2 linked regions of the Elephas maximus indicus genome follow. The protein of the gene in region 1 purifies or fractionates together with the protein of each later gene. This does not show direct contact. Links are inferred from orthologs where the notes say so. Each region holds a gene or a part of one and is shown on either strand. Other genes may lie near its edges.

What was found.
Region 2: the proteins of ATP2B4 (region 1) and NPTN purify together in Homo sapiens (co-immunoprecipitation; 3 studies listed by BioGRID and IntAct, with this or other methods). This does not show direct contact. The link is inferred for Elephas maximus indicus from reciprocal best matches to the Homo sapiens genes ATP2B4 and NPTN.

The regions. Positions count from the first base shown.
Region 1 is NC_064836.1:12,759,332-12,766,449, reverse strand, and holds the start of ATP2B4 (plasma membrane calcium-transporting ATPase 4), read right to left. Parts: upstream 3,119-7,118; 5' UTR 2,701-3,118; intron 1-2,700. UniProt on the Homo sapiens protein: Calcium/calmodulin-regulated and magnesium-dependent enzyme that catalyzes the hydrolysis of ATP coupled with the transport of calcium out of the cell. By regulating sperm cell calcium homeostasis, may play a role in sperm motility.
Region 2 is NC_064831.1:63,744,846-63,752,862, forward strand, and holds the start of NPTN (neuroplastin), read right to left. Parts: upstream 3,204-8,017; 5' UTR 3,126-3,203; coding exon 3,035-3,125; intron 1-3,034. UniProt on the Homo sapiens protein: Probable homophilic and heterophilic cell adhesion molecule involved in long term potentiation at hippocampal excitatory synapses through activation of p38MAPK. May also regulate neurite outgrowth by activating the FGFR1 signaling pathway.

The sequences.
Region 1 (7,118 bases):
AAATGCCCCACATGGTTTCCAAGGAACAGCTGGTGGCTTTGAACTGCTGACTTCTGGGTTAGCAGCCATAGCTCTTAATCACTACGCCACCAGGGTTTCCAAATCCAAGCACCGGAGGTGGTAAGTGGAAGGGGAAGTGACTGAGCCTTAGCAGGGTCTGGACGGCAGCAAACCCCCGCTCCTGCAGCACTAGCATCTTCTCCACCGAGTACTTAGATTACGGCAGACCCGGGGAGGGTGGAGCCGAGCTGCGGGAGAGGCTGACGGCGGAGCGGGGTGGGGCGAGGCGGGGCGGCGAGGCAGCCCAGAGGGGAGGGGTCCGCGGGCTTGCTGCAGTATCGATCCCTGCCCTGGAGCACCCGCGAGACCGGCTGGGGCTGCAGAGAGCAGGCTCCACCGCTGCCCCCTACCCAGGACACCAGGTCGTGGAGCTGGCGCCAAGGTGGGCGCTAAATCGGAACCTGCAGGCAGAAGCCCTCCCCCAAAAGGATCCGCTCCAAGTCAGAATACTGAAAATAGGCCTGCTGCCCGAATGGTGAGATTCAGTACCCCCAAGACGCAAGGGCACACTGAAGGGCACAAGGAAGGGCACGGTGCGGCCTGATTTCGGGGTTGCACCTCAGCAAGATGGTGGAAAGGAGGATGGGGCTCCTGGATAAGTAGCAAAGAAATGGATTCCTTGGGCCCCCTTCCTACAGAGGAAGGGCACTGATTATGGCTTGTGACCTCTTAGCACTGGAGAAGGCCTCATTACCTTCTGGAACAGAACACAGGCAGGGAGAAGCCATCTAGCCTTGGGGTGCAGCCAGATCAATACTCCAACACCTCAAAATGAAAAGTGGTTCCTGTTGCTTCCTGTCCCCCATTTAAGCTCTCCTGGTCTTTTGCTTCCTTCCTCCCCAGTTTCTCTAGTTGGGGCTGAGGGCAGGTGTTTCCTCTCCCCCAGCCCGCTGCCCACAGATTTGCCTGCTTCAGGGACAGGAGTCACCTTCCAGACCACCTGTCCACCAAGCTGCCACCACCCCTCCAGAGCCAGCCCCCCGAAGCCACCATCCACAGCCAAGGAGGGTCAGTGGGCTCACTAGCCACCACCTCTGCCAGCCCCCTTCCTCCTAAGGTCCTCTCCATCCAGCCCTTCCCTACCCCAAGGCCTCTCTCCACCGCCGTCCCAGCCTGGAATACCCCCCTGATCTCTTCCTTCCAGGTAAAGAAGGCCCAGAAGTGAGGGGCTGGAGGGGGGTCATCCAAACGAGAAGGGCAGAGAGAAGGGGCCGCTCTGGGGAGGGGCTCAAAGAGAGAGTGGCACCCCACCCAGAAGAGGAGATGGCGCTGTGGAACCGGATTTTATTTTCCCTCCCTCCCTACCCCTTTTTCCCTTCCCCCCAGCGGCGTCGGTTGAGTGCCCGCCTATTTCTTCATCTGACATTCCCCCTACTAGGCCAGCAGCGCCAGCATCTTGTCTGCAAGTTATTGTAAGTCCTGCAGGAATGCCCAGGAGGGAGGCGCCTCTGGCTAACAGAGTGCCCACTCCTCTCCCAGGATGCGGCGGCCGCTGCCACTCCCGGGCCCTCCACATCCCGCTGGAGAAGAGCAGTGGGTGCCTTGGCGCGATGGCGCGTGTGAGGCTGGACTCGCTGCAAGGAGGGTGCCAGCCGGGATCCTCCGCCGGGAGTGGGCCTAGGATGTGAGTGTGTGAGACTGTGGTGTGTGTGTGAGAACGAAGGGCAGGAGGGACAATTCCGGCCTTAGTTTCTAGCTCCTCAGCAAAACAACACTGAGGCCCAAGACGCTTCAGGGACTCCCCCCACCCCGACTTCCCCGAGGATGCCTCTCGGCAACCCCCAAACGGCAAGCCCTCACCAGCCCCAGGTCACCGGCCTTGACATCGCAAACTTTCCAACTTCACCCCTTCTTCCTCCCTTTTGGGACCCGAGATGTGTGGGGTGGTGCCCTTCAGACACACTCATACAGTTGGTTCCCGACGCTGGCACACACTCAAACAACAGCGGTACTAGGGAACTCCTAGCTTTTTTCCACAGCTAATTATAGCCGTGAAAGTCTGAGGATGTTTTCAAGAGGCAGAGAGAAAACGCCGAGGTTTCTCCGCAAAGCCAAAGAAATTTATTTTGTGCACCCCCCTTCCCATTGTGCGCCTCTCTTAGCCCCCCCCCAGGGCACCCCTTTTCCAGTCCCCACTGCAGCCCCTCCTTCCTGCTGAAGATTTCTTACTTGGTTCTTTTTTTTTTTTTTTTTTTTTTCCATCTCTCTTTGGGGCTTTCGAGAAAGAGAACAGACACGGAAAATATTTTTGCAACAGTTTTCCATTCTGCGTCTGATTCCCAAGCCAAGGGGGAGGCGGAGGACAGGAACGGACGGGAGAAATAAATGCTTTTCTAAGAGCTCAATTTGGGTGTCAGAACAGTCCTGTCGTTTCCCTAACCCCCACAGCCCAGGAATGACAAGAACCAGGAAAAACAAAAGAAATCACTTGTTTGATTATGTGATTTCTCAGAACCAAGTCCAGGAAAGAAATATTTGACAAATCTGTTCACAGGCACACACGGAAAAAATCCCCCCAAATCTCCAAACCCAGTCACATAAAATATGCTCGGAAGCAGAAATTCAGGGAGTTTTAAAACGATTCAAAAGAAAGAAAGAAAGTTTGCAAATCAAGAGTCAATTCATTCCAAGCAAGCCTACCTCTTTCTAGCAAGGATCCGGGCTTCTCCGAGCGGGGCTCTCCCTCCGGGTCACCATGGACCGGGATAGGGTGACGGTGACCACCCGCCGGCCTCCCCACTGTGGCAACCGCTCTAGCGACGCTGGCTTTGCTTTCTGGCCTTTCTTGCCAGATCCGGGGAGTGGGCTGGGTTTCCTCCTCGGCCCTTCCAAAGGGAAAGACCTCTCAGGTCCCTGGAAGAAAAAGGGTTCGGGAGAGCTGGGCGGGTGTCTTTGATCTTGCTCTCCTTGGAGGGATGGTTCCCCAGGAAGTTGGCGCCCCCCCCACCCCCAGTCCCTAGATTTGGATGGCCTCAACAGCAGAGCTTTCTTAAGAAAATGCTTGTCATGGCAACAGCTCCTGCCAACTCCGGCCAGACCCTCGCTCACCAGCTCCCCGGAGCAGTGCGGGCGGAGCAAGGGGAGGAGCCGGAGCTGGAACCGAGGTGGGACTTGGCGCCAGGCCAGACCATCACTCCGCTGTTAAGGTGGCCCGACCGCGCGCTGCGGCTGCTTCCTGGTGTGTCTTAAGGGGGAATGGGGAAGGGAACCGGAGGAATCCCCTTCTCACTCGGGTTTCCTCCCCGCCCTTACTCTCACTTGTTGAAAAGAAAGCAGAGTCGGGGGTGGGGGGGTGGGGGGGGAAGGTGGGGAGTGGATATGGGTGGCGGTATTCAACCGTTGCTGGGTGGAGGGAAAAAAAGGAAGCTTCTGCAGGCGGTTGGCTTCCTGCAGCTCCTACCAGCCTCTCAACTTCTTACTGGCTTAGACTCGGGACCCAGAAGCCTAGAAACCCAAAGAATCTGCGGAGACTTTTATCTCCCACCCTCCCGCCCCTCTGAATAGGGACTCCTGGAGTGGAAGAAGGAATTGCACTCTGTGTGTGTGTGTGTGTGTAGCTTTGTTTATGTACACACCTTGGTACAAACCTTCTCCACCAGATTTCACACACAGATTCCTGGGTGGCATTTTGCCCTCTCTTGCTTCTGTACGCACCAGAGGCCATATAGGGTGGGTGATAATAGCTGCCTACCCTGAGTCCTACGATGTGCCACCTAGGACACCAGAAGCTTTGTATATGTGGTATGGTTTCTAATCCTCACGGCAATCTTGAAAGATATTTATTATTGTTCTCATTTTGTGGGTGAGGAAAATAAGGACCCAGTGATTCGCCCAAGTTTACACATCTAGTTAATGACAGAACCAGGAGTTAAGGCCAAATCAGGCTGACTCCCAAGCCCATGTACTTTTCTGCAGTCCTGTGGCACACATTTCAGACATCCATGCGCACTCGCATACAGCCTACAAAGGTAATCCCACCGCCAAACTCACACCCCCACCAGCATTGTGCAACAGTGCCACCCATAGATTTTGCATAGAACTTTATGGCTTTCAAGTACAAACATGCACCATCAGCTGGTTCGCACAACACGGCTTCATTGACTGATAGATTCCCACACCCACCTCAGCACACAAGCTCACTCACATTTACATGACTATGGGAGGCAGGTTAACCCACACCTCATAGGTTATAGCTGCAAATTCTGCTGTGAAGAAGGTTACTGACTACAACTTCCCAACCTTCTTAACAGAGGTTTGGGAGAAGGCCTCTTTAATCCAAACATCCTAACCCAACACCTCACACAACACCTGTCCTCCTTTGCAGCCTTCCCTTCCCCAGAACACAGAGCCTTCTGGCCATTTCACTGTGCACATGGAGAAACAGAGTTGTGAATGAAACCCAAGGGTTTGGATTCTGCCAGTCAGCACCCTTCCCAATTTTCTAAGAAAAATCCTCACAACCGGACCGATAAGCAACATCATGATAAACAGAAAATATTGAAGTTGTCAAGGATTTTGTTTTACTTGGATCCACAATCAAAGCCCATGAAAACAGCAGTCAAGAAATCAAACAATGCATTGCATTGGGCAAATCTGACGCAAAAGACCTCCTTAAAGTGTTAAAAAGCAAAGGGGTCACTTTGAAGACTAAGGTGCACCTGATTCACGCCATGGTGTTTTCAGTTGCCTCAAAGACACATGAAAGCTGGATAATGAATAAGGAAGACTGAAGAAAAATTGATGCCTTTAAATTATGGTATTGGCAAAGAATATTGAATATACCACGGACTGCCAAAAGCACGAACAAATCTGTCTTGGAAGAAGTCCAGCCAGAACGCTCCTTAGAAACGAGGATGGCAAGACTTCATTTCATGGACGTGTTATTTTGGACATGTTATCAGGAGGGACCAGTCCCTGGAGAAGGACGTCGTGCTTGGTAAAGTAAAGGATCAGCTACAAAGAGGAAGGCCCTCAATGAGATGGAGTGACACAGTGGCTGCAAAAATGGGCTCAAGCGTAGCAATGATTGTGAGGGTGGCGCAGGATTGGGCAGTGTTTCTTTCTGTTGTGCACAGGGTTGCTGTGAGTCGGAACCAACTTGATAGCACCTAACAGCAACAACATCTATGGAAACCATCCATGGGATTTTCTCAAGCAGTTCTTTTTTCCTAGGATTTGAAGTTCTTGCCCTCCTAGGCACTTATCATTGTTGTTAGCTGCTGTCAAGTCTGCTCCTGACTCACGGTGACCTCATGCATAACAGAATAAAATGCTTCCCAGTCCTGCACCATCCCCATGGTTAGTTGCAAATTGGATCATTGTGATCCATAGTGTTCCCCTGGCTGATTTTCAGAAGTAGATTACCAGGCCTTTCTTCCTAGTCTGTCCTAGTCTAGTTCAGCTCTGCTGAAACCTGTTCAGCATCATAGTAACATACAAGCCTCCACTGACAGACGAGTGGTAAGAAATCTAACCCGCGTCTCCCCCTGTGAAAGGCAAGAATTCTACCTCTGGGCCACCACTGCCCTGTTCCTAGGCACTTAGAGGACACTACGGTGAGGTTTTGTTCTCATTTGCACCCCACCCCTCTCTCCAATTTTCTGGTCCTATCCTTCCAGGGCATTTCGGTGGAAGAACTTGGCACTGGCCTTGTGAGTTCTCCTCATTTTTACTGATGGTTGGGATAGAAAGGACACCTTCTCAGATTTTGGTAGGTCCCACCAAAACGTCAACTTCACGAACCAAAATCAATTGTTGGGGGAGGCAAGGGAATGAATGGAAAGAAATCAGCTGAACAGAGCTTCACATTTAGTGGCTTGTTATGTTCTCTGCTGGATTGCAACAACTTGACATTTTAGCACCCAGTGAGTGTCGGTTGCATCTTTATCATGAGAAAGCCAGTCCCCGAAATGGCTCTTTAAATGTATTACAGTATATTTTAAGCTTGTCTTCAGTGGCTGTATGTGGAGGCATTGCCTAACTCTTCGATAAACTTTTCTTGGGGGAATAATAATTCAGGCCAGATGTATGGCTCCACTAAAGGGGAAGTCTGCTTTGGCTGTCTGGCATGTGGGGGCTGGACGTGATGCCAGGTGACAGCTGGTCATTATTGGAAAGGCAATAGCCTTTTCTTAAATTCCCTGGGCTTCAGGGAGACAGGCTCAGCAGGGCAGGCGCTGCTGAAAGAAGCCTAATGTCTGTCCCACCTCCTCTGGCTAGGTTTCATGGATGAGCCCAGGTTGTGACTTCTAAGGTAGTTGGAAGGAGTCCCTAGGTGGTACACTGGACTACCAACCAAAAGGTTAATGGTTCAAACCCACCAGAGGTACCTCTGAAGTAAGGCCTGGCAATCTACTCTCAAAACATCACAGCCTTGAAAACCCTGTGAAGCACAATTCTAATCTGCATGCACGGGGTCGCCACGGGTCAGAGTTGACTTGATGGCAGCTAACAACAACAGCATGGTTGTTGTAGGTCTTCCCTTTTCTCAGAGCCCACTGCTTTCCCTTCTCTGCCTGGGGGGTTGTGGGGTGAGAAAAGAGAAATTCCCCTGTTCCATTCCCACCCCAGCCTCCATGAAGACAGGAGAGAGGGATTTGGGTGGTAGGACAAGGTGACTCCAGGGGTGACTTAAGCCTGATTTCTGGAGGTGAGCCAGCCACTGAAGCCTGTGCTTTCTGGAAACCCAGAAGCCTCAGTGCCTTGTTGCTTCCAGCAGCAGGTTTGGAGCTGAGGTCTAGAATGGGTAAAAATAAATCCATCCATAAAAATAACCACTAGATGTGGGAAAGTGGAGTTGTGCCCCTGTGGCAGGAGGGAGGGCATTGCTTCTGGCATCAGAAGTTCATAGTTTGGCTTTTCTGCAAGGTTCAGCTCCCCTAAGCCTCTGAGTAACCCCATTTGTCTTTCATCCTTGTCCTCCTCTTGACTTTACTTCTTTAGCTGTAGCCCGGCTCTCTTCAGTCAGGTGTCATGGCCTCCCCAGAGCAGGTGAATCTCTGCAGGGCTCAAGCCACTGTTGACACTGTCCACCCCATCCCTCTTTCACGAATATGCAA
Region 2 (8,017 bases), on another chromosome or scaffold:
CACTACATGCCAAGCAGAAATCTAAGTGCTTTATGGCTACTGTCTCATTTAATCCTCACATCATCCCTAAGGGATGAGGAAACTGAGGCTCGGAGGTAGTAAATGCCCGACACAAAGTCACTCAGCTGCAGAGTAGAAGAGCTGGGACTCAAACACAGAGACCCAAAGCCTGTGCTCTTGATCACCATATTATACTGCTTGGTTTACACTCCTTCAATTTTAGCCTAAAGCTAAAACCTGTCTTAAGAGGGTTATTTTTCAGGCAATTTTCATCCTTTAAAATGAAGTACACTTTTGTTGATACATACAAAAATCAACAACTTAAATAAGGATTTTACTTGAAACTGTGGTCCTACAAGTCTAAACCGTCTGAATGGAAAACAAAATCTATACGAACGAAAGCACTGAATCTCTGTGGTAATGGTCAGAGACTCAGGATTTTGTCTTCTATTGCTTATTTCCATTCACCCAAAGAGGAGATGTACAATCAATAGCAAATATACCTCTAAAATGTACTCAGGGACACCGTGAAGGTCATCTAGTCCGAATTCTTCATTTTAGGAATAACGAAACAGAGGCTTTTTGGGAAAAATAAAAATCTATACTCAATCTAAACTACCAAATATCCAATCCAGAAACACCTAAATTCTTTTTCAAATCATCATTTTACATAGATAACCTAAAACTCCTAACATTTCACATGGTATCCATTTTCGAAGGACAGTAAGAAAATACAAACTCCATGACATGAGGTCAGACTATTAACAGTTGAAAACTTGAATCTTGTCAAAAAAAAAATGTTATAGAAAGCTCTAAAATGGCATCCTTATCTATACGAACGTATGAACCCAAACTCAAAAAGTAGCCATTTCTTCCCTGAATTAAATTTACATTCATTTCGGTCAATTACTGGCTCAGCTTCACTTCACCGGTCATGTCACGTGTCTGAATTTAAGCTCATTTCAAGGAAAAGGCTGTATGTACTATGTTGTATTTAGAACACACATCACTGAAAACAGCCAGAGGAGTTTAGGCCTATCCAAAAACCTTGCTTTAGTTGCTAAGAAACTATAATTTCACCGTACTATAAATCACTGAAAGAAGCTATGCCGGCAGAGATCAAACATGTTGAAATCAAGAATTTCCCACCTATTGTGCAAAACAAAACCATGTATTTCACAAATCAAATAGCTGAATTAGTATTAGGCTTCTTTAAGACATCCTGTTAGCACAGATGAAAAATAGTAAGACGTATCTTTTTTTTTTTTTTATCAGACTAACTCTGCCCTGCCTCCACAGCAGCCTTGTGCTTTGAAGGAAAGCAGGAAAAATACCTCATATACTTAGCATATTCAAGCCACAGACAGAAAAATAGTTCTTTTCTGACCCCTGCAGTGAGTAAACCAAAGCAATGAAGCACACAAGATATTTGATTAGTTCTATTTGGTAAAATGAACACTTTTATATTTAACCAATGATTTCACTGATATATTTTCATGGTACTCTTCAGCATTTTAAGCCCAGTTTCTCCTTAGAACGTTCGACTCCACTGGCTCTATCATCGATTTAAAAAAAAATAAAATAAAATGAAAATCATTTAAATTCCAGCTATTCTAACAGTAATTTTAAATTGTTCTAACACAACAATGAAAAAACACTGAAAGATTAGCAAAAATAATTATGGTTCATTCTCCAGTACTGACTTCTCATACATTCTTTCCTATAAAAATATTTTTTAAACCGCTTAATGGCTGTCTAGTCTCACCTGTGAAAGATCAAAGAAGCCGCTGAATTGTAACTCACGCCTTCAATCAGAATCTATTGCCTAGGTCCCCCATCACCACGATTCCCCACCATTTCTCCATCTTCTCCAAAGAGCTACATTTCAAAATTCAATTCTCTCTTTTCCACTGCACACATTACAAGGACTACTTTCATGCTCCTCGGAAATAATGTCTGTCTTGAAACTTTTCAGATCTCAAAAACCCACTTCCTCCACCACCCTCTGACCAGCCAACTGCCCTCAATCCCACCACTGCAGTTTCAGCGAAGTGTCCCTGCCGTCCCGGAGGCCCAACCAGTATCATACAGCACTTGCCACAAGCCAGCTCCTCCCTTCGCTCACATATCCTCCCCACTGCAAACCAACACTACACCCCCGGCTTCCTGCATTTTACTCCCTTCCCTTATTTTTTGTCTCTCCCCCCCCCCCATCTCTATACCCCGGCACCTTCAGGTCTCTAATAAATATTCCCCCTACTTTTTTTTTTTTTTCTACTTTAGTTTCAACCCTTTCTCCCCAACCTCTTTCCTCTCCTTATTTAGGAACCCCTTCCAACCACTACCCTAGAATGTCCAGCACTCCGCCCTTCTTAGCAAATCCAGCCCTCTCCCTCCCATGTCGCTTAAAGCCACCGCTGCTTTTCTTCCCAGGTCCTCTACTGCAGTCACCCCACTCCCTCAGCTTTCCACCCACCTTCCCTCCACCCCCATATCCAAGGTCCCCTGATTCTCTACCCCTCCTTAGGGCTCTAGTACTCTGCTCGCCCTCCCTTATTTTGAATCCTGTCAAGAGACTTACGAGCGTCAGGAGAGTCCTCGACGACCCCCGCTCCCGGGACCCCCGCTCCCGGGACCCCAGTTCTCTCGGGAAGCCTAACCGACACCCCCTCCCTTCGCCTGTGAACACAAATGCCTGTCTTCTGCCGCCTTATTTAAAAGCTGCGCCCCCTCCCCAGCCGCCCCCGCTACTCCGGCTCCTCACAGGGCTTCTTCGGTGTCCCCTCCCCGACGTGGAGCGACGAGCCCCACGATGCACAGGTCTAAGTCGGCAACACCTCGGGCTCATGTCGGACGCCCCCTCCCCTCGGACAGGCGCCTCCTGTCCGCACACAACGCCGACCGGCATCTCCTCTCCGACCCGCAGCCCTCAGGCTCTTCCCCTGGCTCCGCACCTCCTCCGGCCCCGGACGGGCCCTTCGCAGCCGCCGGCGCCCTCGGCCCCCGCCCGACCCGCCCCCGGCGCCCCGCTTACCGTTCTGAGCGGCGCCAGGCCCTGGGAGGAGGGAGCCGGAGACCAGCAACAGCGAGAGGGCCAGGGCGCTGGGGAGCGAGGAGCCCGACATTCTCCCTAGCAGCAGACGGAACAGCGAATAGGCCGGGGCCGGAGCCGGGGCCGGGGAAGGGAGGGGAGGGAGGGAGGGGGCGGGCAATTGCGCGAGGGAGTCAGCGAGGGAAGCAACCGCGGCTCGGCTCCGTCCTTCCCCGTCCTCCTCCAACCGCCGCAGCGCCCAAGCCTCGCGAGACCTTGGCGCCCGGCCGTGGGCGGCTGATGAGCGACGGCTGCAAGGATCGCGAGAAGAAACGGCCTCGACTAATGCTCCCGCCCTTTGGACTCCGCGCCCCGCCCCTGCAGAGGCTGATTGGCCTAGTGAGAGGTAGGTCACGTGCTGAGGGCGCGCGGCCACGTGACGAGGGGAGGCGGGGCTTCGCCCGCTGTCCTGGCGCAGAGAAAGCGAGAAGTTTGTGATCAGTTTAACCGGAGCGCTACGAAATAAGAGGTTGCTTTAGGAACACAATATATTTTCTGCACACATCGTGTCTTCCATTTGTTAGAGCTCTTGGCTACCAATCTGATCCGTTCGTGGTCCCCTGTGAGAGTCCTGCTATGTTTTGACCCTGAACTTTGAACACAGACGCCCTACTGGTATCTGGCCCCAACCTCTCTCGCATTTCGTGTTTTTCCCTTTCAGGCAAGGTGATGTGCTCCCTTTGCCCGGTATTATCTTGTGCTCTCCTGCCTCCACATCTGCTGCCTCTGCCTGAAATGGCCTCCTTTTCGGTCGTTTCCCATTCCTCCCCCCCACCCCCACCCGTCTATATTGGCTTTATTTTAGTTCATAGAATCTCAAGGCCCGAAGGGGTCTGAAAGTTCAACTAAACTAATTGCACGTCATAAACATTAAATTCTACAAGGAAGTTAAGTATTAACTTGTATGAGGACTCTTTAGAAGCGTTGTAATGCAACGGACATGTATTGACATGTGGAACCCAGATGAAAAGAGGGCCCCACCCTAACGGAGTTCAAACCTAGTCTATCGGAGGAGTGAACGAGGGGCAAATGACCGCGTAGCAAAACCACCCAAAGGAAAGGAGTCAGCAAAGCGCTCTGGAGGTTGATTTGTTAAGCGATCGCTACTGTTTCCCCTGAAGTTTGGGGAAAGCTCTTCATATGGGCAATTCTTGTATTACTTTCAGCGTGCTCGGTCCCTGATTGGCAAAGGAGTTTCTGTGGCTTAGTTCATTCCTGACTCAGAGCAGGCATCTTGGGAGTGCCTGGAGTGAAACTGCGAGGGGCCAAATAAACAGTCATGAGGACCTGACTTGATTGAAAGAGAGAGCTTGGGAACCTGGAGGAAGGAGTGCTCGCTGTGGGCCCTGCAGTCTCTCTCAAGTCAAAGTGGTCTGGAGTATTCAACAGGAACTAGATAGCTGGACATTTTTAAATGAGCTTTCTAGCAAGGGCCAGGACAATTATACTGTTTTGTTGATTAAGTGAAAACTATATGCTTCAAGACCCCAGGTGTGTGAGTAAGAGGTGGGCATGTATCTTTGGACAAAGGCTAGTCCACAAACAGCCCTGTACAGAGAACTACAGGGCTGGTGGTAACAGGACCCAGATTTTCATTTGATGAAAACTTTGGCTGGGTGCAACCACAATGACCACAGCAAACATCCCTATTTGATCCTTATAACAAAAGTAGAGGGTGAGCAAAGCAGGGATTGTTGTGCTCATTTTGTGGGTAAGGAAACTGAGGTCGAGAGAGGATATGACCTGCCCAGGGTCACAGAGTGTTTGTGGTAATCGTGAATGGCAAATAGTTTTGTTTGCATCCTTCTAGGCTCATGGTAAGATTTCTTTGCCCCTTCGAAGTTGGGAGGGGCATGTGACTTGCTCTGGTCAATGAAATGTGAGAAGGAACATGCAACACTTTCACGAGAAAGCTTTTCACTTCCAGTGCAGACACTAGCATGCTCTTTTGCCTGCATGGTGATCAGTGAAAGCGAGGGTGAAAACACGTGTGAAAATGAAGCTCATGATGAGTTGGAGAGGGACGCTGGTGAGGAGTGAGCTTCTTGGATCAGGTGGACACTTGAGACTATGTTGGCATCTCCTGCCTGGAGGGGAGATGAGAGGGTGGAGGGGGTTAGAAGCTGGCGAAATGGACATGAAAAAGAGAGAGTGGAGGGAGAGAGCAGGCTGTCTCATTAGGGGGAGAGTAATTGGGAGGGTGTGGCAAGGTGTATATGGGTTTTTGCGTGAGAGACTGACTTGATTTGTAAACTTTCAGTTAAAACACAATAAAAATTATTTAAAAAAAAAATGAAGCTTATGTCATTGGGGATTCCTGAGTTAGCACAGTGAGCCAAGCCTTCTGCCAACCCACATTAGAGAGGTACCACTGTAGAGTTGCTGTGAGTCAGATTCAACTCAATGGCAACGGGTTGGGTTTTTTGGTTTGGTTTGTTGAATTAAGCAGAGATATAGGGATATTTGCTCTGATTGCATAACCTGTACTATTCTGGTTAGGGGAAAAATGAAACCCAAGTTACATAAACACACCACTGCCACCACCTTCTACTAGCTGGGTGATCTTGGGCAAGTGACCTCATCTCCCTGGACCTAATTTTAATTATCTGTCAAATGGGACAAATGATAGTACCTACCTCATAAGATTGTAAGTGGAATAAAAAACCAAAACCAAACCTGTTGCTGTTGAGTCAATTCTGACTCATAGCAACCCTATAGGACAGAGTAGAACTGCCCTGTAGGGTTTTCAAGGAGCAGCTGGTAAATTCGAACTGTTTTTGGTTAGTAGCCAAGCTCTTAACCACTGCACCGCCAGGGCTCCCATAAGTGGAATAGATGAGTGAATTTATGTACAGTGTTTAGAACAGTGTCTGGTACATAGAAAACACTCAAATGTTGATGATGGTGATAAATACCATTACTACTGCTGCTGCTACAGTTCTCACCCCAGCCCTATGTCCTATCGACTACTTGATGCATCTTCCAAAAATGATTTGGGAAGAACTTTTGAAGCACAGGTGTTACCAACAAACTCTCAGAGCCTGCAGTCATGACCAACCCTTTTTACCCATGGAGAAGATGTTATCAAACCCCGTGTTACAGTAGTTGTACTTTAAGTACCCTTTTGTTGGAAAAAAAAAATACATGATTAAATAAAACTTTCCAATAATTCAGTTATTTCTTTATAAAGGAATTTGGATTTTTTTTTCTTTTAATATTTACATACACTTAAAAATCTCTGTGGTCCAATACTGGGGAAACCAGCACGACTAGTTCAAGGCAAGGTCACAGAAGCTCCATAGATACATCCAAACTCCCTGAGGGACTGAATTGCTAGGCCGAGGGCTGTGGGGACCATGGTCTCGGAGAATATCTAGCTCAATTGGCATAACATAGTTTATAAAGAAAATGTTCTACATTCTACTTTGGTGGATAGCATCTGGGATCTTAAGAGCCTGTGAGACAACAGCCCAGGCACAAGGACTAGCAGGCAGAAGGGGACAGGAAAACTGGTAATAGTGAACCCAAGGTCAGAAGGGAGAGTGTTGACATGTTGTGAGTTTGTTAACCAATGTCATAAAACAGTATGTGTACTAGCTGTTTAATGAGAAATTAGTTTGTTCTGTAAACCTTCATCTAAAGTGCAATCAAAAAAAAAAAAAAGGAATCCACCCAACTGCTACTCTCCTAACTCCATTTACACTTTCCCTCGTGATAATATTGCTAGCATCTTTCCAATTCAATACATCTAACTGTACCTCTTTACTTTTTGAACCACTACTTTTCTTATTTAAAACAGAAAAAAATTCATCAATTCCAGGAATGAATATGAAGGTCTCTCAACTCAGTACTTGTTCAGAAGGTTATTTCTAATTTTTCCATATTAGAAACAATAATTTCTGTACTTAGGTTTTGCATACGGTATGTCTACAGGATAAATTCTAGATGTGGACTCAATAAATGACCTTTACATTTTGATAAATGATGTCAACCCACCCTCCAAAAAAAAAAAACCCCTGTGAGTGGCCGTCTAAGATACTCCACTGGTCTCACCCCTTCGGGAGCAAGGGAGAATGAAGAAAAGTAAAGATACAAGGGAAAGATCAGTCCAAAGGACTAACGCACCACAACTACCACAGCCCTCACCAGACTGAGTCCAGTACAACTAGACGGTGCCCAGCTACCACCACTGACTGTTCTGACAGGGATCACAGTAGAGGGTCCCGGGCAGAGCTGGAGAAAAATGTAGAACAAAATTCTAACTCACAAAAAAAGACCGGACTTACTGGCCTGACAGAGACTAGAGAAACCCCCGAGAGCATGGCCCCAGGCAACTGCCGCAGTATGACAGGAAACTGCCAGAAATTCAAGCCAGATTCAGAAGAAGACGAGGAACCAGGGATAGCATTGCTGATGTCAGATGGATCCTGGCTAAAAGCAGAGAATACCAGAAAGATGTTTACCTGTATTTTACTGACTATGCAAAGGAATCCGACTGTGTGGATTATAACAAATTATGGATAACATTTGGAGAACAGGAATTCCGGAACACTTAATTGTGCTCATGAGGAATCTGTACCTGGATCAAGAGGTAGCCGTTGAAACAGAACAAGGGGATACTACATGGTTTAAAGTCAGGGAAGGTGTGTATCAGGGTTGTATCCTTTCATCATACCTATTCAATCTGTATGCTGAGCAAATAATCCGAGAAGCTGGACTATGTGAAGAAGAACCAGGCATCAGGATTGGAGGAAGACTCATTAACAGCCTGCATTATGCAGATGATACAACATTGCTTGCTGAAAGTGAAGAGGACTTGAATCACTTACTGATGAAGATCGAAGACTACATACAGCCTTGAGTATGGATTACACCTCGACACAAAGAAAACAAAAATCGTCACAACTGGACCAATGAGCAACATCA